Linked DNA regions of Astyanax mexicanus. The protein of the gene in region 1 binds, or shares a complex with, the protein of each later gene. Links are inferred from orthologs where the notes say so. Each region holds a gene or a part of one and is shown in the gene's direction. Other genes may lie near its edges.

Evidence for each region.
Region 2: the proteins of f7 (region 1) and poglut1 are in contact, whole or in part, in a crystal structure (PDB 5L0S), measured with the Homo sapiens proteins. The link is inferred for Astyanax mexicanus from reciprocal best matches to the Homo sapiens genes F7 and POGLUT1. Residues at the interface, in NP_000122.1 of Homo sapiens: Asp108, Gln109, Cys110, Ala111, Ser112, Ser113, Pro114, Cys115, Gln116, Asn117, Gly118, Gly119, Cys121, Gln126, Ser127, Tyr128, Arg139, Asn140; in NP_689518.1 of Homo sapiens: Met103, Phe104, Pro105, Ser106, Arg107, Arg132, Asp133, Pro171, Ala172, Trp174, Pro178, Thr179, Thr214, Asn239, Gln240, Ala241, Val274.
Region 3: the proteins of f7 (region 1) and f3a are in contact, whole or in part, in a crystal structure (PDB 6R2W), measured with the Homo sapiens proteins. The link is inferred for Astyanax mexicanus from reciprocal best matches to the Homo sapiens genes F7 and F3. Residues at the interface, in NP_000122.1 of Homo sapiens: Leu73, Lys78, Phe91, Arg96, Leu99, Phe100, Ser103, Ser120, Lys122, Gln124, Leu125, Ile129, Cys130, Phe131, Cys132, Leu133, Pro134, Phe136, Glu137, Gly138, Arg139, Lys145, Gln148, Ile150, Val152, Asn153, Glu154; in NP_001984.1 of Homo sapiens: Thr49, Asn50, Lys52, Ile54, Glu56, Trp77, Lys78, Ser79, Lys80, Phe82, Tyr83, Glu88, Asp90, Asp93, Gly141, Gln142, Thr144, Glu162, Arg163, Thr164, Leu165, Arg167, Phe172, Tyr188, Trp190, Lys191, Ser192, Ser194, Ser195, Gly196.

What each region holds. Positions count from the first base shown.
Region 1 is NC_064428.1:19,305,015-19,312,811, reverse strand, and holds the start of f7 (coagulation factor VII), read left to right. Parts: upstream 1-4,678; 5' UTR 4,679-4,723; coding exon 4,724-4,787; intron 4,788-4,932; coding exon 4,933-5,096; intron 5,097-6,000; coding exon 6,001-6,025; intron 6,026-6,110; coding exon 6,111-6,224; intron 6,225-7,220; coding exon 7,221-7,361; intron 7,362-7,797. Other genes in the region: f7l (coagulation factor VII), read left to right, coding at 1-88, 1,988-2,538. UniProt on the Homo sapiens protein: Initiates the extrinsic pathway of blood coagulation. Serine protease that circulates in the blood in a zymogen form. Factor VII is converted to factor VIIa by factor Xa, factor XIIa, factor IXa, or thrombin by minor proteolysis.
Region 2 is NC_064428.1:22,565,068-22,572,613, reverse strand, and holds the start of poglut1 (protein O-glucosyltransferase 1), read left to right. Parts: upstream 1-4,385; 5' UTR 4,386-4,462; coding exon 4,463-4,538; intron 4,539-6,507; coding exon 6,508-6,619; intron 6,620-6,773; coding exon 6,774-6,917; intron 6,918-7,010; coding exon 7,011-7,146; intron 7,147-7,546. Other genes in the region: calsequestrin-2, read right to left, coding at 871-1,107. UniProt on the Homo sapiens protein: Dual specificity glycosyltransferase that catalyzes the transfer of glucose and xylose from UDP-glucose and UDP-xylose, respectively, to a serine residue found in the consensus sequence of C-X-S-X-P-C.
Region 3 is NC_064413.1:36,715,041-36,722,499, reverse strand, and holds the start of f3a (coagulation factor IIIa), read left to right. Parts: upstream 1-4,296; 5' UTR 4,297-4,526; coding exon 4,527-4,593; intron 4,594-4,724; coding exon 4,725-4,833; intron 4,834-5,812; coding exon 5,813-6,009; intron 6,010-6,512; coding exon 6,513-6,697; intron 6,698-7,459. UniProt on the Homo sapiens protein: Initiates blood coagulation by forming a complex with circulating factor VII or VIIa. The [TF:VIIa] complex activates factors IX or X by specific limited proteolysis.

The sequences.
Region 1 (7,797 bases):
GGGGCAATTGTTCTAAATTCCTGGTGGATTCTCACAGCAGCTCACTGTGTTTGGAAACAAGACATATCCCAAATACAAGTCACAGAAGGTAAGAATTAATAATGAGAAAAAAACACCAACTGCCATAGAGCCATGTTGCTTCACCCATCAAAACCACCCACTTTAATTCAAATTCGATTTATATAAATTGATCAGTTTGCAGAATCTTAAAAACACGTTTTTTCCCCTTTACATTTACTTTTATTTGATTGCAGACAGAAGAAGCACAGGATATTTCATATGTTGTCTGGTCAACTTTTATTTGATAATAAACAGGACTGGCAATTGTATTTTTTTCTGCAATATATATGGCAGTATTAAAAATACAGTAATGTTTACCATTTTCAACTGAGGTCAATGTTCCAACATGATGATCATGATAAAAATGGATAATTCATGATCCTTTTTTGCTATTCATGCTGATGGCAAAGCTGTCTGACCAGGGGTTCAAAACACCTTGCTATATTTATTTGAGGAGCATTTTTCTCACAGGTTTGTTACAAACCAAACTAGAGATCCTCAGTCCTCAAGGGCGTTGGAGCGGGTTTGATATTGGGGGGGACACATCTGCTTATATGAATCAAAGCCCACCTTATGTTGTCTTAGAACAACATTGTATTGGCATGTCAATTCTGTTGTATATTTGTATATTTATATTTACGCCACCTTTTTTCGACTAAAAGTACTTCTTATGATGTGGTCTTTTAGGTAAAAGAATGTAACCTTATGTTTCATAGAGATTTTTGGCAGAAGTTAAAATAAACATTAGATAACCTAAACCCTCCTAGTCTATTAGTTTCATGAGCTTTTACCTAAGGACCAGATATATTCCATTAGTAAATCTAAGGGGCTAAGGGATTTTAACAGGTAAACTCAATAAATGATTGTTTAACAGTTGATGCGCTGGATCCGGTGAAAACACACAATTTTAGGGCAGTGATCAGGGATAAGAAACTGCTTTAAACTACCAACATAAAGTAGTGTACTGAAATCTGGCTATCCACTACATCCAGCTTCTAGCTAACTGGTTAAGCTAGCTAAAAGATTTTTCCTTCATTGTAATTTACAGTAATCCTAGAATCCTAGAATCACAAGCTCATAGTGGGTTTGATCTGTGGGTTTTGATTTGTTTATTTTTAATTAGCTATCAGAAATTATCTCAAAACAGTTTACATGGTTAGCTCCGTTACCTTACTTTTAGAAAAATCACAGTATATCCAGATATGTTTTAACGTCAGCTCGCTGCACCCCGATGGTAAATCTAAAAAAAAAAAACTTTACAAATCCTCCACAACAAAGGGGGGGGCTTCCCCACTCTCCTACTGACATTACCTGTTTTAAATCATAATCAATTAATGTGTTTACCTTGTTACTAACCTTAAATTGCCAACTTATTTTTTAAATGTGTTGTAGGCCTGAAATATACTGTTCCACAATGTATTGCTCTTTGCTCTTATATGCAGTGCTTTCTTTGCTTTACACATACAGCCAATGTGAGAAAGGCCTTAAGTTGCTTGGAAGTTACTCTGAGGTCTGTTTGTGACCTTGCAGACTTTTGGCCCAATCTTTGGACTTTTGGAGTCTATTCTATCCATAAGCTTTAGAGATTTTTATAACATTTTCCAGTTTTATCAACTCTTTAGAAATCTCCAATATACAGACATCCCAAGTCTCCTGGAAGTATATCAATAACGCCTCCCTGATGCCCACAAGTCATAGAAAATCTCCCAGAATCTAGAATGAGTGGCCCAAGAGTGAAAACAAAAGTTCACGGAGGCGACCCAATTGCGTGTGTGAAAGTCCAGGTCTGGGGGTACCTACCTGAAAATAATTTTTGCAATTTGGGATGTCTGTGTGTACGTGCCAGGTGTTGTAGGCCTGAAATGCATAAATATACAGCAGTTTATTGCTCTTTTAATTTCTTTCTTGTTTACCTTCTCCCTTTCAGGCGAGCATATCCGTTTCAAGAAGGAAGGCACAGAGCAGACTAGACAAGTGTCTAAAGTTTTCATCCACCCTTTGTACAATCACTCATCCACTGACAGTGACATAGCACTGCTGCGCCTGCGCAGGAACATAACATTAAATCCCTACATTGTGCCCATCTGCCTCCCGCCATCCAATGGCACATTTGTTCGCACCCTGGGAACAGTGCGTATGTCCACTGTGAGTGGATGGGGTCTGCTGTCTCAGTTCGGACCTTCGTCCACTGTGCTTCAGAGGTTGGAAGTGCCAAAGGTTCCCCTAGAGCAGTGCCAAGCCCACTCAGGTCTCACATTAACCAACAACATGCTGTGTGCTGGGTTTAAGGAAGGAGGTCGGGATGCGTGTAAAGGGGACAGCGGAGGACCACTTGTTACCCTGTACAATAAAACCTGGTTCCTGACGGGCATAGTGAGCTGGGGTAAAGGCTGCGCTCGCTCAGACATGTATGGGATCTACACTCGTGTTTCCATCTTTGTTGACTGGATTATGAAAACTATGGCTATGAATGAATGAAGGAACATCTTCAAATATCTTACAAAATTATAAATATTAAAAATGTTTAATTAGCATTCTATGAAAGAATGCATATATGCTTATATATACAAAGTGTTACTTGAGTTTGTAAAACCTTGAGAAGTTTCTGTATTTTAACACAATTCCTTAAAGGAGAACTCCGGTGTGAAATGGACTATGGGTGTATTAAGACATGATAAAGAAGTACTTACCTGTGTTGAATAGCCAACCTCTGCTCTCCCACAGCTTTCTGAAATCCAGTATTTTTTCTGCACTTTGCCCAAAAAGGCTTTAGAATGAGTGAGACGGGGCATATTTGGCCCCTGCAGATAAATCTCCTTTAACACTGTTATTGAGGCTCAAAGTAGCTTCACATTTCACTGGTAGAATCCAGAGAGCCCTGACATTTAAAACAAGGCATTTAAAACTTTAAAACTGCACAAGAAGTTTATTAAAAGCCACTGTTTACATCCCATAGCTTAGGTGAATCCCCCTGCACCATCATCTTAAATTTAAGTCACGAAATGTCAACCGTTAAGCACGACCAAATAGGTAGGATAGTTGAGCAGATTACATAACTGCAAATGAATTCCCTGGAAATGCATGAATTACAGCTGTTGCTGAAAATATCTGGTTACTGTCAATATTAGAATGCAAAGAACCAACAACAAATTACATAAACATTGCTCAAAATGTTTTACTATTTGTGATCGATGGTTAAATTAAATTTAAGATGGCGGCACCTGGAGATTTATCTACGATATGGGATGTAAACAATGGCTTTTAATAAACTTCTTGCGAAGTTATAAAGCTATAAATACCTCGTTTTAAAAGTCAGGTCTCTCCAGATTTCACCAATGAAGTGTGGAGCTACTTTGAGCCTGGATGACAGTGGAAGACATGCCCCTTCTCACTCATTCTAAAGCCTGTTTGGGCAAAGTGCACAAGACACTGGATCTCAGAAAGCTATTCAACTATTCTGTTTTTATTAAGTTTTAATAAACTCAAAGTCCGTTTCACACTGGAGTTCTCCTTTAAAGTCGATGAGGAAAACCAAATAAAAAAATGAGACAAAAATGTTAGACTTGGACATTTATTTATTAAGGAACACAATCCAATATCACATATCTGTGGGTGAAAAAAATATTTAATGCACTGCTTTCAGTATCTTGTGTGGCACCCTTGTGCAGTAATAACTGCAACCAACCGTTTCTGGTAGTCTTAAACATGAGCTAAAAGAAATTATAGTCCATTCCTCAGTATAACATTGTTATTTTCATTTTTGTTCTTTAACCATTCTTTGGTAGAACAACTGGTGTGCAACTGGGTTTTTGTCACGCTGCATAACTCACCTTCTCTTGAGTCTTGATTTTCTGACTGGTTTGCTGACACAGATGCAGCAGAACAGGCTCTATTTTGCCCACAAAACGTGTCCATGTGATCTTTAACATTAGCCAATAAGAGAAAGGCCTTCGGTTACATAAAAGTGTCCCTGTGGTCTTGCAGACACTGGGTGTGATTTTTGGATTTGTGTTTTTTTTTTTGCTTTTCCAAGCCTCAGAAATCTCCTGTGTTTGTGACAGGATACATTTTCACAAACATCTGTTGTGGAGAAGATTGTGCATTTGATTGACACCTGCTTTTCAAATAAAACATGGCTATGCCCATTTACATCTGATTGTCATCTTGATATTGATTGAAACCTTGACTTTAATTTCACTCTAATAACCACACACTTTTTGCCACTCACAGATTTGTAATATTGGATTATTTTCCTTAATAAATGAATGATCGATTCTGATCATTTTGTCTTATTTGGTTGATTTGCTTGTCTAACAATCTGATTACATTTTAGGTCAATTCTATGTAGAAATATAGAAACTTTTAAAGAGTATATGTATGTTTCTGTATCAATAGCATGTATTACATCAAAATCTGTTATATGTACTATACAATTGTACAATTGTACCAATAATAAAATATAAGATTTAATTGTATAAGTAAGGTTTGTTTTAGTTTTTTTAAAGAGTTATCTGCAGTATTATTGATTCTTTTTCCCAGCCTCAAAATTATATTATTGGATCTTTGGGGAAGGTTTTTAGCCTTTCCTGATTGCACAGTTCCCAGACTTTGGACCCTTCAGCTGTGAGGAGCAGAAAGATCAGGACGCCAGCCATCATCCACCATGCAGCTGCTATCTCTGCTGTCTCTGATACTCAGCCTATTATGCTGCTGCTACACTGCTTCAGGTAAAATACATGCATGAATATATGAAAATGAATGATTGCTTAGTGGGCATGTATATATATATATATATATATTGAATTAATTGTTGTGATGAATGCTTTGTGCTGGGGTCCCACACCTGTGTAAATATACTTGGTTACTTCATAGTGTTTGTAGGGCGGAATGAAGCCCATGGAGTCCTCACCAGGACCAAGCGAGCAAACTCTGGCTGGTTTGAGGAACTGAAGGTTGGCAACCTTGAAAGGGAATGCTTAGAGGAGAAGTGCTCTTATGAAGAGGCCAGAGAGGTGTTTGAACACACTGAAGCCACGGTCAGTATCATGAGATATGGACATTACAAAATATATATATTTTTTATTTTCACATGAATTATAGTGGAGCAGTTTTTCTCATCTCTAATAACAGCACAATGAATCGTTAAATATCACAGAATCTGATACAAAAAAATTATACCTTTAAATTCACTGACATTGACAAAAAATAACACCCCAGCTTGATGCAAAACTTGACATACAGTTATGTCTTAGACACTGTATGAAAGTGCTAAAAGGATATGAGAGGCAGCTTTTGGGTAGTGTACCTCTTGGTGAGAGATCACTGACTGCTAAAGAGTCCATTATGACACACTCAATTTTTTCCAAGTTGAAAGATTTTGAGAGGGAACATATCACTGGACTGAGAAAAAACAGGTGATTCTACTGATTATTCACCCTATAGGTCACACACTCTTCTTACTATTAAAGTGACACATTGCCCTAACTGTTGGTGTGATGATCTGAGGAGTCTCTGCATGTGACAGTCAGTCACCCCTTGTATTGATACAAAGAATATTAACAGCTAAACGTTATGTGAAAAACATCCTAAAGACACATGTCTTGCTTCTTATGGCAGGACTTTCCAACATTGGCATTTTTAGCAGGACTATGGTAACACACATACAGAATGGGTTTTTGCAAAATTGCAACGTTTTCTTGGCCGGCTTGGTTAACAGAACTATTGACACTCGAACATTTATGGAACTTGTTGGGTCGCCAGCTTCAGCAACATGTCTATATATGTTCTAAAAGCCTAGCATTTATGTATAGTTTTATAATAAATATTGACATACTGACATAAACTGACAAATAGACTTTTATTGATACATGGTAATCAACATAGCTGTAATCAAACTGTTGATATAGTTAATTTCTTTTTTTTTTTTTTTTTTTACAACAGAATGAATTCTGGAAAATTTACAACGGTAAGATGTTCTGTCACTGACACTTCTTTAATTACCATGTACCACTTATTGTTACTGATCTTGAGCTTTTTTATTCTTTTAACAGTTAAAGACCACTGTCAGTCGAATCCATGTGAAAACAACAGCACTTGTTACCTGTTAAAGGAGTCCTATACATGCTTGTGTGCACCAGGTTTCAGTGGACGTAACTGTGAGCGTGGTAAGATCATCACTTAATCCAGATTTCTTCTGTCTCCTTCACCAAGGAAACAAACTACTGTACCTAACTGTCTATTATTAAACTAATTATTAGCCTATTTATGAAGAAGATTCTGCGAAAGCTCTTTTTGTAAGAATTAATATGAAACCAATCAACTATTATTATGTAGTATATAATGGTGCAATGCGGGCAGTGAACGCAGCACAGACCACACATGTAAACAGCATGAATCAGCAAATACATTGTTTGTTTATACCAGTATATTATCTGGTTGATATATCAGATTAAACTCCGCCTTATCAGCAGTTAAGCTCAAATAAAAAGAAGTATAGTTGATAGCTGGGTCAAATCGAGTCCAGATCACATTCTCACCTTAAGCAAACCAATTCACAAAAAAGTCTATGTGTTGGGTGGGGGTGGGGCATTTGCTCTCTCTGGAATTCAGTGTAACGATAGGGGGGTCCTAAAGAATGGCTGGGGTAATTGGCCCTCCTTCAAAATATTGTGAATAAAATGGTAGTTGCGAGCCTTTTGTTTCATGAATGATCCATGCTTAACTTGGACGATTTATTTTCCTTTTTATGTCTGAGACAACAGAATACCATTAATACATTAATAATTAGATAATAGTGGTGAGCCAAATCATTCTTTGAAGCTAACATCATGTTTTATATCTGTCTATAATTCCCAAAACCCTTGCACAGCACAGGTTAAGTTTACTTAACCTATTTTAACACAGTTTTTAAAAAGTTGCTAACTTAACCTTTCATTGCATTAAATGTATTGCTTTTTTGCTGGTCATCGATAAATATTGATATTGCTGAAGCTGTTGATTTACCTAATATTAGTAAGCTTCTAGCTTTTAGAAAATGTCAAAAGATGAGTTATATAACACATAATAATAAGTTACATTTGTATTATGGTGTTGATTTTCATAAAGATGAAAGTCTAGGATTTAAGTTAAATCTGTCAATGTTGTCCATGTTTTTTTAACAGTAATAAAAGACATTCCTGACTCCTGTCTCCACAACAATGGAGGGTGTGAGCATTTCTGTGAGGAGAACAATGGTGAGCGCTTCTGTTCCTGTACAGACGGGTACTTCCTTGGGACAGATGGTCAAGCCTGCCTGACCCAAGGTGAGACTACTGCACATGACGTACAAGTTACATGCAACATGTTTTATTTTTTTACTAGATTGTGATCATTTATTATAAGTAATATACAGCTCTGAAAAAGGAGAGACCACTTAAAAATAATGAGTTTTTTTTTACCAAATTTTACCAAATTAAAAACCTCTGAAATATTTAATCAAGAGGAAGATGGATGATCATAAGCCATCAAACCAAGCTGAACTGCTAAAGTTAAGTTATACAAAAGCAGTAAGTAAGACTGGGTTAAGACCAGTAAGTAAGACCAGGGTTATTCCACCAAATATTGATTTCTGAACTTTTTCTGAAATTTTATGAATATGAACTTGTTTTCTTTGCATTATTTGAGGTCTGAAAGCTCTGCATCTTTTTGTTATTTCAGCCATTTCTCATTTTCTGCAAATAAATGCTCTAAATGAGAATA
Region 2 (7,546 bases), about 3.3 Mb from region 1:
TAAATATTAAGTAAATACTTTACTCTTAGGCACATCACCTCCAAAAGAATGCTTGAAGTGAAAATGAATAGCAGTATTTGGTGTCAAGAACCTGTTGCCAACTGTTAAACATGAGGGTGGATGGGTTTGTGTGAATGTCAGTGGCACAGGAAGAAGACACAGAACGTGGAAGACCTCAAAAGACTATGAACTTTTTTTTAAGAATAGCACATAAGTAGACGTGTTCTGCAAGAGGAAGTAGGTGTAAATTCCCAAAATAAAGACAGAAAGACTTCTAGCTGGCTACAAAGCATCTGCATTATGTCCTAGAAGTCACAGAAGCCACAGAACGTGGAAGACCTCACAAGACCATGAACGTTTTAGGAATAGCACATAAGTAGACGTGTTCTGCAAGAAGACGTAGGTGTAAATTCCCAAAATAAAGACAGAAAGACTTCTAGCTGACTACAAAAAGCATCTGCATTATGTCCTAGAAGCCACAGAACGTAGAAAAACCTCACAAGACTATGACCTTTTTAGGAATAGCACATAATTAAAAGTGTTCTGCAAGAAGACGTAGATGTAAATTCCCAATATAAAGACAGAAAGACTTCTAGCAGACTACAAAAAGCATCTGCATTTTGTCCTATGGGGGGTGGTAAGCATTGTCATAGGGCAACATTTCTGAGACTTCCTTGGCTATTAGCAAGTGTCCAGAAACTGTAAGCTCTAGGTCCTTGTCCAGATAAGCAAAACCAAGGAATTCTACTTCCACAGAAAACTCTCTACACTGCCATAAATATGCAAGACTCTAAATCACCAAAAATACTTGTTTCACGCTCAATTCAAGGTTTGTTGATACCAAATGTCAAGAACTCTCTTCCATCTTACCTCCAGCACCATCTCCCTCATTCGGAACTGCTGCTGGAGCTCCCTGTCAGATGACAGGCGCTCGTGGTACAGCAGGCACAGCATGTCATATTTCTTGAGTGCCTTCTTGTAGTTCCTCTCATTGATGTCCAGCACACGGTCCTTGCCATCAAAGCTAGGGATCGCCAGGCCTTCCTCTGCTAAGTTTCCAGACAGAAGATTCAAGCTAGGGAACAGGAGAAGCCAGAGAGGCAACATGGCGAGTCTGGAGAACGGCAGGTCCAGGGAAAGAAGACAAGGCGAAGAAGACAGGATTTCCTGTGTGCAGAATCCCAGAGGCCTAGTATGGCTCCCCTGAGACAGGCCACCCCCTTGAAAAGATAGAACAAAAGAAAGAAATCTTAGAAAAGCTGGGATTTAGCTACAAGTCCTTGTGTTTCGTCAGCCAGAGACTTCTATCTCTCTCTCATTCTCTTTCTCTCCCACTTCCAGAGCATGATAAGGGATGTTGGGACACATTCGACTTCCACAGACTTGCCTTACTGCCTAATACAAGTGAGTCCATTCCCCTGTGTCTGAAGGCCATTTTAGATGCTCCCTTGTTCCATGGCTAAATATAGATGATGTGCTGATGAAAATGAGGACGGGTAGGAGCACCACTGGGAATCACTTTGACACGCAGAAAACGAAGAATGAAAAAGAAGATTGTGTCAAGTGGTCTTTCAAACTTAGCTACAAACTTTTTATTTATTTTTATTTTTTTTTATTTATTTCGTTTTTTGCCAAAACATATACACACATAAAGAACAGAACTTAAAGAAAAGAGAAAAAGAAAGAAAAAAATCACATCCTCTATCTTGCATTTAAACAATCTCTTTAAACAACCGAAAAGGTACAGGCTGAAGCTATTAGCTTATTTAGCCTACCCTTTTTTACCTAACTAATACATATATATATCCATATATACATCTATATATACATACATATATGTATATACAGTACATACATACATACATACACACATATGTCTATATGTGTTTATTACAAATTGAATTGACACAAAACAATATAAAACAAAAAACAAATAAACAAAAAAAAAGAAAACACCAAACACAAAAGAGAAAATTAAGATAAAAAAAAAAAAATCATTAATCATTTGAAAGTTTACAATATATAGACTGCTCATTTAGCAGTTGTATATTTGTTTATAGCCCTGTGTTTAAACATTATTTTAAATTTATAAAGGGAACTACACATTCTTAATTCTTTGTTATAGTTATTCCACAGCTTTACTCCACTGACCAATACACATCTGTTTTTTATATTTGTCCTTGCTCTATTCCTTTTAAATATATCTATTCCCTTTAGTTCATAGTTGTTCTCTTTAGTTTTAAACTTCCCCTGAATACAATTTGGAAGTAATTTATTTTGTGCTTTGTACATTATCTGTGCAATATTAAGGTCAACTAAATCACAGAATTTTAAAGCATGTAATTTAATAAATAATTTGTTGGTTGGTTCGTTGTATTTTGCTTGGTTAATAAGTCTTATAGCTTTCTTCTGTAGTATGGTAATTGGATTTGTATTGGTTTTATATGAGTTTCCCCATATTTCCACACAATAGGTCATATAAGGCAACATAAAAGAACAGTACAGTAGTGACTTCTGATTCAAAATATGTTTAGTTTTATATAATATTGCAATGGTTTTGGCCAGTTTTGTTTTTATGTGGTTTATGTGCTGTTTCCAACATAATTTATGATCAATTATCACACCCAGACATTTATTTTCATACACTCTTTCAATGTTAATATCATTGATCATAATTTTTACTTCCTTCTTTATTTTTCTATTGCCAAAGATCATAAACTTTGTTTTCCTTAAATTTAATGATAGCTTATTAACATCAAACCACTTCTTTAAAATGTTTAATTCTCTTTCTACTGTATTTAAAAGCATATCCAAGTTTTCTCCAGAGCAATATAAATTGGTATCATCAGCAAATAAGACAACGTTTAACAATTTAGATGCCTTACAAATATCGTTTATGTACAAATTAAACAATTTTGGTCCTAAAACTGAGCCTTGTGGCACCCCACATTTAACCTTCAGCATATCTGACTTGGTATTATTTATTTGAACATATTGGTATCTATTATTAAGATAACTTTTGAGCCATGAGTATGCTATTCCCCTAATACCATATCTCTCTAACTTTTTCATTAATAAGTTGTGATCAATAGTGTGATCAAAACTTCAATACATATGATGGGCCGCAGAAGATGGCTTGGGAAACAACCACAGATGTGTAACTTATGAGGTGTTATATTATCAGAGATGTGAAACACTGACCAGCATGCTCATGAGACCCAGAACTGAGTAAAATACAAGTGCTTTATAAAATAAGTTTTTCATTGCACTGCTCTTCTATATCTTTTTATTTATTGTATACAGTGATATGTGTTCATTTGTAGATGTTTATATTCTTCCACTCTGTGTTTTTGTGTGAGATATTTTTATCTATGCTTATACAGCTCTATTAAAACTTAAAGAGACCACTTCAGTTTCTGAATCAGTTTCTCTGATTTTGCTATTTATATGTATATGTTTGGTTAAAATGAACATTGTTGTTTTATTCTATAAACTACTGACAAACTTTCTCCCAAATTCCAAATATAAACATTGTAATTTAGAGCATTTATTTGCAGAAAATAAGAAATGGCTGAAATAACAAAAAAAGATGCAGAGCTTTCAGACCTTAGATAATGCAAAGAAAACAAGTTCATATTCATCAGAAATCAATATTTAGTGGAATAATCACAGTTTTTATGCATATTGGCATGTTCTCCTCCACCAGTCTTCCACACTGGTTTTGGATAACTTTATGCCACTCCTGTTGCAAAATTCAAGCAGTTCAGCTTGGTTTGATGGCTTGTGATCATCCATCTTTCTCTTGATTATATTCCAGAGTTTTTTTCAATTAGGTAAAATCAAAGAAACTCATCATTTTAAGTGGTCTCATTTTTCCAGAGCTGTATATATGAATATATTATAATTTATATTTATTGTTAAAAGTTATAATTTGTAGTTTCACCATGCCTCATTGTAATAAGTGAGATATACCTAAAGCCAGACCTGGGCATTTTACGGCTCAGGCCTTCACATATTTACCTCAGAAACTGACCTGGAATTTACTGCACTTGCTCAAGATTTCTCTCACTGAAAAATTTAAAAGTATTGAAGTGAGGTAAATGAGGTAATTAGCACTAATAATGGTATAATATTGGTGTGATTTATTGGTTTTATGCCCATTTTACATTGTTATTTCCTAATTGTAATATCTACTCTTATCAGTAATGGCTTATCAAAACCATATAATTACTGTTTTTATTTCATTATTATTTATATTTTTTACTATTGAGGCAAACTGAGGTGAATCTGTTGGTCTGGCCCTTTAAAACACTCCCAGTATATCATGTGGGGCCTTTGTGCGCTTTGGGACGCAGCCCGAGCCCTCGCACGCTGAAATGGGAACACAGGCAGACAGAAGTAGTTGAGTGTTGAAGACGCGAGCACGTTTACCGGCCAGGCAGGACTAAACGATGCACAGAAGATGGAGCTGAGGTGGATTTTAACGCTGTGTTGTGTTTTTCTCCTGAGTGGAGCGGAGTTTAGTGCTGCTCAGAAGGGTAAGAGCTTTATAACGCTTTATTACAGGCTTTATAATCATTTAGCAGCGGTGGAAAACCGGCCTGAGTGAATAAATCAGCCGGGAAACCCCGTTCACTCTCTGTAACCAGGCTACCTAACTCACATACCTACATGCTGCCTGCCGTTACTTCAGTTAGCATTAGCCTCAGACTCCTGAGACTCCTGTTACTTTAGTCTGAAAGTCTTTAATTTGCCAGAAATTAAAATACCGTCAGTTAACAGCTTGTTTAAATGCGAATCTGGGATAGGTAAAGGTCCCCTGTGAAGCTAAGTATTGTTTCTACACTATTATCCAATGTTTCAGCTCCATTGAACATTAAGAGGCACCTTGTAGTTCTGTAGCCACATACTGTTTACTTATCTTTTCTCTGTATACTAGCTTCATTATCTCATTTCACCCTGTTCTTCAATGGTCAATAATCCATTTTATAAGTAAAAGTACAAGTGCTCTATCAAAAAGTGACTCGAGTAAAAGTGCTCTATCAAAAAAAGTAAAAAGCACTCTAGAGCTGTGATGACTGACAGTGCTCTATTAAATAAGTGACTTGAGTAAAAGTGCTCTATCAAATAAGTGACTTGAAAAAGTACTCTAGTGCTCTGTCAAAAAAAAGTGGCGATAAAATATTTAAGTGCTCTAATAAATAAGTGAATTGGGTAAAAGTGCTCCATCATATAAGTGACTTGAGTAAAAGTACAAGTGCTCTATCAAATAAGTGACTTAAGAAACTACTCTAGTACTTTAATACTAAATAGGTATTACAAGGTAATACAAGAGATCTACTAAATAGGTGAATTAAGTAAAAGTGCTCTATCAAAAATTAGCTTGAGTCAAAGTACTCTAGTGCTTTAGGAGTTAAAGTGTTCTTTAAGCTCCACACTACAAGTAGAAGTACTAAAGTATTCCAAATATTTTGTACTTAAGTATTGCAAGTAGTTTATTGAGTAGTAAAATATACTACTCAAGTACAGAAAGTAAACATACAGTATTGTGATTTGTAGTTATTAACGAAAGCAGTGGAAAGTTCTCAGAGTGAAATGCAGAACTAGAGCAGCATGGTCTTATACGATCAGCTTGATCGCTTGATTCACACTCAGTGATGAGCAGCTTCATTACACCCTGTGACAATAACAGTATTAAACTCATGGGAAAAAAAATAGTGAAATTAAAGTGGAAGTAGGAGAAAAATATAATGCTGTGGTAAAGTACAGATACAGTATTTTAGTACCTAAGGTAAGTAGTAAAGTAGTTCTACTTTATTACTATACATCTCTAGGGTTGTGCTGGAGACACAACAGTGCTGCTGCTGAAGTTTTTAAATACCACATCAGTTTCACTCCTGGACTGAGAACATGTCACCATGCAGAAATATGTAGGTCCTGTGGGCAGGGCAGGGTCCCGTGGGCAGCATTCTGTGGGCAGCGTCCCATCCACTAACGAACATTGATGTTGCTATGTTTTCATTCCCTCAATGTAACAATCTGTTCCCTCAGTTCCATAAATGGAATGCTGGGAGGGAACAGAGGAGGGCTGTTCAACAAAAGTTAGTACTCATTATAATGTTTCACTACACCCCAAAGTCCATTTCACACCAGAGTTTGATTGTAAGCCTCCAACCACAGTCTTTATTGCAATAGATTAATTGTAAAATATTATTAAATTGTAAACCTTTTATTTTAGAACATTTAGTTTGAAACATTTAGTTCATGATAGGGGTGTGCCATATCGTATCGTTCTGGATCATTGACTTGTGTTACAAATCTGATTAAATTCTTGTATTTTTTAATCTCTCACTTAGGGGTGTGGAGTATTATATTGTATGTAATAATATTTTTTTTCTTGCAGTGTATAGTGTATTTTTGAAATAGTTTTTTTTTTAAGTGTTTTGTCATATCGCCAAGAGTATCGTTATCGTGAAAATACCATGAAATATTGTGATATTATTTTAGGGCCATATCGCCCACCCGTAGACACAAGATGGCAGAAATATCTGAACAAGATCTCTGAAGCAGCCAAGAAGTTTCAGCCATGCAGCCAAGAGAACTGCAGCTGCCACACCAGGTACTAATCTCAGCTGTTTAAATGTAAGGCAAGTTTGTATTTTTAAGGGAAGCATGAGCTCTTCTTCAGAGATGTAAGGCTTAAGCTTTTATCAGTCTTCTGAGATACTAAATAAGTCTGTCTTTGTCAATTCTTTCTCCTTGCTTGGTTCCAGTGTCCTGAAAGACGACCTGCAGCTTTTCAGAAATGGCATATCAAAGGAGCTAATGCTGAACACGGTGCAGCGAGGTGTGGGAACACACTACCAGGTTATCGGGCACAAGCTCTACCGAGAACAGGACTGCATGTTCCCGGCAAGGTCGGTGCTGTACTGTATGTGTGGCTTTATATTGCCTGTGTTTAACATACACCTTACAGTACAGTAAAGTGGCTTCGTCCTGTGTGTGTACAGGTGCAGTGGAGTGGAGCATTTTATCCTGGAAGTGATTGACAGATTGCCTGATATGGAGATGGTCATTAATGTTCGGGACTACCCTCAGGTGCCTGCATGGTCTCAGCAGCTGCTGCCTGTTCTGTCCTTTAGCAAGGTGCGTCAATTTTCACACACACACAGCCAACAAATAACACACACAAATGCAAACCTGAATGGTATTGTGTCTTAAAACTTTTATTTTCTTTAGATCACCTTGTTATACATTGTAATGCATGAGGAAAAAATACTGTTTTATAATGTTTTGCATATTCATCCTAATTGCATTTAAGATCTGGTACCCTGCCTCTGATTTGATTCAAAAGTATGATGATTTAGGCCTGTGGTTTACACAGTACTGATAGTGCTCGTTGGTATGCCTTTTTAATTCCTGTTTTAGCCCCATTAACATAGTATTTCCAGCACAGAACCAAAGAAGCACATTTTGAACACCAGCTCTAGGATTTGGTGTGAGGCTTTATTGTTTTTGACACTCTCTGGTCTTCCTGTATGTTTTT
Region 3 (7,459 bases), on another chromosome or scaffold:
CTAGTATATAGGATTTGGGCTGAAATCACTGTATCACACTAAAATGCACCAGAATGCAGAATTCTAAATGAAGTCTAATGCCTATCAATTAAAAAAACAAACACATAACAACTAATAGAAGAGATGAGATGATAAACCAGCCAGCTGACCCACAATTTGGATAGAAGGCCTATGAATGACGGATATGAAGAAAGCAAGAAAAACCATTAAAGGATCAAAAAGTAAACCTTTCTCAGGCTAGACATCACCATCAAATGTTAGTGTAGTAAAGTTTAAAATTCTGCCCATTTATCATTTGCTTTATTTTCACTGAAACTTTAGTTTTAGGCCACTGTGTTACAGGGAAAAACAGGAATGCAAACTTATTGGATAAGAACACACTAGATGAGGGGGTATTGCCCCTTGTGGTGCCTGGCATGCAGACCCGTTGCAGCAGGACAAGCAAACCAATCAATTGCCTACACCCCCGAGCTGCCCCTAGGGCCTCCAGACAACAACTGGTAATGAACTGAATGCATAAAAACAAACTGTGTGAGCACCCCTTTAAATACTGTGATGGTCAAAGCAGGAAAGTACAATGACACCTCCCCTCAAGGGGGCTCCTCCCACTAGTTACTGATAGTAGCCAGCCTGCCAGGTTCATGATTCCTGCAGCTGGCAAAATATGAAACTTTGGCAATCATAATGCATTATCCATACATTTTGCTAGGGGCCCCCAAAATGTCCGGAAACTAAAATAATAAACCAAAAAAAACTCAGCTACTATAAAGCTCCTATTTTGCTTAAAAAACACAAAATATATTATTCGAGTTTAATAGTTGTTTCACTAATAAAAAATACATTTTAAATTGTTTGCTTTTAGATATATTTTCATATCACACTGTTGACCAGTAGTTATACTATTGTGTAGGACAATGGAATGCACTAAATATTTGTTAAACGTATACCAAATCCTTTCATCTACTGGAAAGCTAGGAGCTTTAAAATAGTGAAATAGTTCAAAAATATAATAGAGTTTAAAACGCAGATTGAAAAATAAAAAAATCAGTACTACACTTCTTATTTATGCCACGTCTGCCTTATTCTCTATATAGTTGTCAGTCTTGACGTTGTCAGTCTGCCGGCCATGAACTCTGATACACACACTAAAGACTCCAACTCCCAGCACGCACCCACATCAGACCCTCTAACTCACCAAGCTTCTGATTACGCACACCTGGTCCTGTTAGTATATATACCCCACGTTTTCAGTAGCTCCTCGCCTGGTATTAAATCTAGTTTCTATATCTTCTACATTGTGTTTCTTTAGTTTATTGCTCTTTTGCTAATAACCCTTTTTTGTATTTTTTTTTTACTTTTTACTCTTCTTGCTCTAGTACTTTCTGTTTATTGTAGCCTACCCCTTTTGCCTGCTCTCTCCCTGGTATGTTGTTTACTATTGCTTCCATTTTGTTAATGACCCTGCCTGTCGCTGACTATCCCTTTATTAATAAACTGTGTGTTTCTGCGTGTGTCTGGCCAGCGTGAAAATAGTGCACTACTTTGGGTTTTTTTACTCTTTTTTTAGCACTGTCTGAAAACATTATATCTAATATAAGATATAAGCTGTGTCTGAAATGCAAGAAATGTTGATTTGAGGCCTTGCTGCCCACACTGTCTCACTTAGAAGGCAGTGTAGTGATGATAAATCTGACTGTCTCTGTACATGAATTAAAAGGGGACCGTACATGCTGACATTACTACAGTATGGACAGTTCACTGCAAGATAATGATGTCATTTAGCTGCGTTGTCATTATTTTATATCATTTTCAGTCACTAAAATGTGAGACTTAGATTACTGAATTTGATTTACTCATGACTGGGTTCCTTCATGTCTCAGAATTCTGCCTGAGTAAGCAGCATTTTTTACATTTTAAAAATAACCACAGTGTACAATGTACCGAAGCAGAACTTCTCTGAATTATTTCATCACCTCTCTCAGGAGAAGCACTGCGGTTGATATGATGCAAAATGTTGTCACACAGCAACCCAGCCAGCATTCTCATGTGGGGCTCAGATAAGTGAAACACAATCTAGGTGGGTTTTAGGTGAGCATGGTCTCTAAGTGAGTTGGAATACATACAGCATACAGTATTTTGTTGATGGAATCTAGCTGAGTTTCCAAAATGAGCCCCATCATTACAGCCCACCTTAATCTACGCCCCATATGGGGCCCATTTTGAACCCCTATTGGTCCAATCACTGACCCTGATGGGGCCCATTACTGACATCCATATGTGGGCATGTTATCTGGGAATGAGTTCACGCACATAATGACATGCCTGAAATTGTTCACAAACTTGTGGAATTCTGTTCCCTATAATAGTCCTTTATGTAGTGATCTGGTTTTTGCATCTAGGGGACAGTGAATAGGACACAGTTTTGGACAAATAGTATAGTAGTTTATAGTTTATACCCAGATAAACAGCAATAGGCACATTTTACTCTTTCCTAAACACTCCCTAAAACATTAGTAATCAGTTTTAAATAAATTGTTCAACCATGTAGATTATGCAAATCATTAATAAATTATTTCTAAATGTATTATTAATAATTAATCATCAGCAGTGCATGCTGACTCTTTCATAGCAGCTTGGATGATACAATCTTTAGTTCATCTCATTGGCGAACAAAGCTGAGCTCCGGGACTGTAGTTTCAGGGAAATGTAAATCACATCATATTTTACTGTTCATCTTTTACTGTTGAATCACACTTACATCACACTGGGTATCCAGGGGAGGAAGTCACACCCTTCTCATCTTTTAGACTGCACTGTAAAGTAAATAAAGGTGGTTTGAGGTGCTTGTTCTGACAGACACATTTAACCCATCCCTGCAGTGAACACATTTACATGCACACTGCAGAAAATACACATTGTGATATTGTAAGCACATGAACCCAGAGTGTCTGACAACCATTACTGAGGCATCTGAGGAGCATTAAGGGCCTCGCTCAAGGGTCCAACAGTGGCAGCCCGACAAAACCAGGTGTCAAACCCACAACCTCTACCCACAACCTGCTCTTATCTGGGTTATCACTGTCCCACACTGTTTACACCATTTTTGTAACTATCTATATTAGTTTTATTGGCCCTAAAGTGTAACCCTGTGGAATTCCACAAGATATGCTACACAACCAACAGACACCAACAGTTTCTGCATTAGAGTTTATGGCTAAATTAGGTGGTAAACACTGTATTTCACTGCTCTGCACTCGTTGTTTTCCCTTGTCTAAATTCTTCTGAGATGTCTCAGTAGGAAAAGCGTATTGTATTAACCAGAAACAATAAACAACTCACAGACTGCATAGGTGGGCAAGTTCCTCACAACAGGTGAAAAACAATTGGCAAAAGATATGACATGTATATGTGTGTGTTACACATCTAGATTTCTATACATAAGCATGTGTGTGGTACATGTGTTCCTGTATAAAGGCTTGTAGGTGGTACGTGATCTAAAAAGTTTGAGAACCACTGCTTTCGGACAAAACAGAATCTAAGCACTAGTTTTCTAGCTACATTTTTACAGTCATTAACTAATCAAATATTTTGTAAACGTCAGCTGCCTGTGTGCAGAAATCCAGCACTAGATATATGGAAAATGTTTCAGATCAACTGTTTTAGCCATTTGTAAAAAAAAAATGCATTTTTAAGAGATCCTTTGTTAAAAATGAGTCTAATATCATTCATAGTTTTCATCATATCAACAGCTGGGTTGGTTAAATAGTGCTCAATGATATTAAATCAGGTGAGCTGGAGATGGAACTGGACACATACATCCACACAGTGGATAGAAGCATCCAGGAGAAATCTGAAACTACTTTCTATGAACGACTTTCTTTAAAAAATTATTAATGTTACTTTTTAATGCATTTATTCTTCTCTACAACTGTTTACATAATACGTGGTGTTAATTCAGGTAAAACACTCTAGTTGCTGAATTTTGAGTTATGTTTTTGTTTCATTTTGTAACATTTTGTTAGGACCCTAAGAACATTACTCAAAGCCCTGGTTTTGATTAATGTTCTAAGGGTCCTATCAAATGTGGTGCCTCAGTTAATTATGATAATGATTTTTCTCATGATTATTATTAATGGATATCTTAATTATTCTTCACATTTATAAACACAGTGGTTGTGAACATTAGAATACCTCAGAAATCCCGTAAGTTTCCCTGCAGTCAGTCAGGGCGGATCACCATATATGGTCATTAGTGTGGTTCAGTCAGTGTGAGAGAGAGTGAATAAGAGGAGGGGACCCGCTGGAGCTGTGAGGAGTGCTAATCTGCGCTGGCTCCGTGTCTGAGGGATTTTTACCGCACTTAGCCCAATTCTCCCGGGCTGTATAAATCACACGGGACCAGTCTACAGGAGCTCAGTTTCACCTGGACGCAGCGGGGTCACCTCAGCCTCGGGAGCAGCTGAACATTTTACAGGCTTGGAGTTAAGTTGAGTTTTCCTCTGGGAGAATTCACAATAAAGAGCACGATGCACACTAAACCCTTCAGCCTGCTGTGTGTGTGGCTGCTGGTCTTGGGAAAGGAGTTTGTTTCAGGTGAGGCTGCTTAGCTCCGGTTTTATTTTATCTTTTATTTAATCTATTTTATATCCTTTCCGTGATTTCCAGTTCTGTTGCCTACAGTCTTAATTAAATCTTTCCTTTTCCTGTTTACTTTTTTTGGGCAGGCACTTTTCCTAAAGCCCAGAATGTCTCCTGGTATTCTTTGAACTTTAAGACCTTATTAACTTGGGGTCCCAAGCCTGTAAACTATTCATACACTGTAGAATTCTCCAAGTAAGTAAAACTTCTATTTATTTCAATTTATTTCTCATGTATTAGTTAATAACTTTTAGCACAATGCTTATTATTATTATTATTATTATTATTATTATTATTATTATTATTATTATTATGGTTGTTATTATTATTATTGGATTTTATATAATGATTTATGACATGATGACACAACAGCATAATAACACAATTATACCAATTTAAAAAGCAATAAACATTTAATTATATATACTTTTAAATATATATATATATATATATATATATATATATATATATATATATATATATATATATATATATTGAATACCTTATATATATATTGAAAACCTTGAATATCCACTGTTTTACTAGTTAACATACTGGCTAATTTATTAATAGATTCTCTCTACAAATAAAATATAATGAGCAGAATCAAAGTCAGCAAAAAATTGTTAAAAATTAGGTAATTCGTGTATATTTCATACAGTAAGTCGATAATGTAAGTATTGTGACTTACAGGGAAAGTTGTCTACAATTTTACCTGTTTTCTTAAACAACCTGTTATTTGTGAGCCCATATTCTCTTCTGCATTTGGTATTGAAACTTATATTCCACTGCTTACTACTTAATAATCCTAATGATTATTATTCAGTAACTACATGAAAACAATTCAAACTGTGTGAAGGAATAGGGAATTATGAATGAAGTCCTGAACCTGTTGACGGCCCGGTTTATTTAAAACATGAAATTTGTGAATGAATTTTTTCACAGTTACGGTCTGACATGACTTATGATTTTGACTAATTCATTAAAATAATCAGTTTATTTACCAAAACTCAAAGGCTGAGATTAGGCTTTGTGATTTATTCAATCTGACATTTGTGCTTTGTTGGAAAATTCCACACCCTTTGCTTGTTTCAGCTTGCTGTAATCACTGTAAGACTTTAGTTTAATGGATTACTGGATTTCAGTCCTAAATTCTTTTGTAACTTGGTTCCAGACAGAACGAAAACAGGGAGAGGAACCCTCTCTGTATTCAGACCAGCGATACCGAATGTGATCTAACTGCTGATCTCAAAGAGCTGAAGGGTCGCTACAATGCTGATGTGCTGTCAGAACCAGTGCGGGGGTTAAACCCCCCTGACCTCATTGAGCCCCCGCACACAACATCTGCCTGGTTCATTCCTTACCAAGACAGTAGGTTTCTGTAAAACCTTTTTTTATTTCATACACTCATATCTCTGTTTAATAATTAGTTTGAATTTTGATGTCACATATTTTGTAATTATTGTATTTTTTATAATGAATCCAATTACAATTTAACTCAGTTTAAATCAGTTTAATCAAAGCCACACATTATGTTATTTGTGAAATGTAAAGCATCATCCTGTCGCTGTCATGCCAGACCTTATCTTTACAAAGTGGCAGCTTCACAGGAAATTGACATTTTTATTGGGTCTTTTGGCATGCTTTTAAAATTGTTATACATTGTAAAGAATAACTACTAGATTCATATTATAACAGAAAGTCAAAAACGGCAAAAATATACAGAAATATGTTATAAAGATACAATCTTTTTGCCTCACAGCAACAATAAACACATCCACAGCAGAGCATTACGACTCATATTTACAAATTTCTAATTCTAATCCTGTTTGCACAAAATTTATTGTATATCTTTGCTCCTTCCTCTTTTTTAGCCATCATCGGCAGCCCTGAATTTAAGATAACAGTGAACGAGGATCAGCGGAAAATAACCCTCTACGTAAAAGACACCCCAACAGCTGTTTTAAATGAGCAGAAACAGAGAATGACCATTCGGGACATCTTTAAAGATGACCTGCAGTATAAGGTCATCTACAAGAAAGCCAAGAGCTCTGGAAAGGTATGTAATGATTGTAAATGTTTGTTGGCTTCAGTTCATAAAAATAGTTTATGTTTAATAATCGACTGTGTATCTATATGTATGGCGCCTCTGTTTAATCTCTAAGATGGCAAAAAGGGAACAATACAAATATCTAATTGTCATTTACAGTACTTTAATGTAATGAACTTCATATAGATCATTGTGGATTTATATATTGGTCCATTCATCATAAAATGTGTACAAAGGACACATAAAAGTGGTTATTAAAAAATATTTGGTGTTTTTGAAATGGCTGTGACATTATGTTATATTCCAGTTTCCATGTAAAGACAAAAAAGATCATCACTGTTCAAAGCTTCAGTGTTTAAATATTAAAGGATATTTTTCTTGATGCCTGATAAGCCATTTATTACATTGGTGTGTGACAAAGTTCAATCAATATTATTCCTGTTTTGGGAAAGTGATACCTACTAATTCTCACCATATATCACCCAAATATGATCTTAAATTATTAGTTATGATATAGTAGCATCAGGTCAGATCAGAGCACCTCATAAACCTGAGTTCATGTGATGAGACGGTATCACAGTGTACTGTATGAGGACACTCCGTCAACAGTCTAATTGTACTCGAAGCAGATAGGAAACACGAGTTGTGAGTGGATATTTCATTAAGCTCATTCTGTGGCTTTTTCTGAATGGAATTTTAATGTTTATTATTTTATACAGTTAGATTTATTCAGTTTATTTTTGTGATTGATAACATTTCAGGCTTTTACAT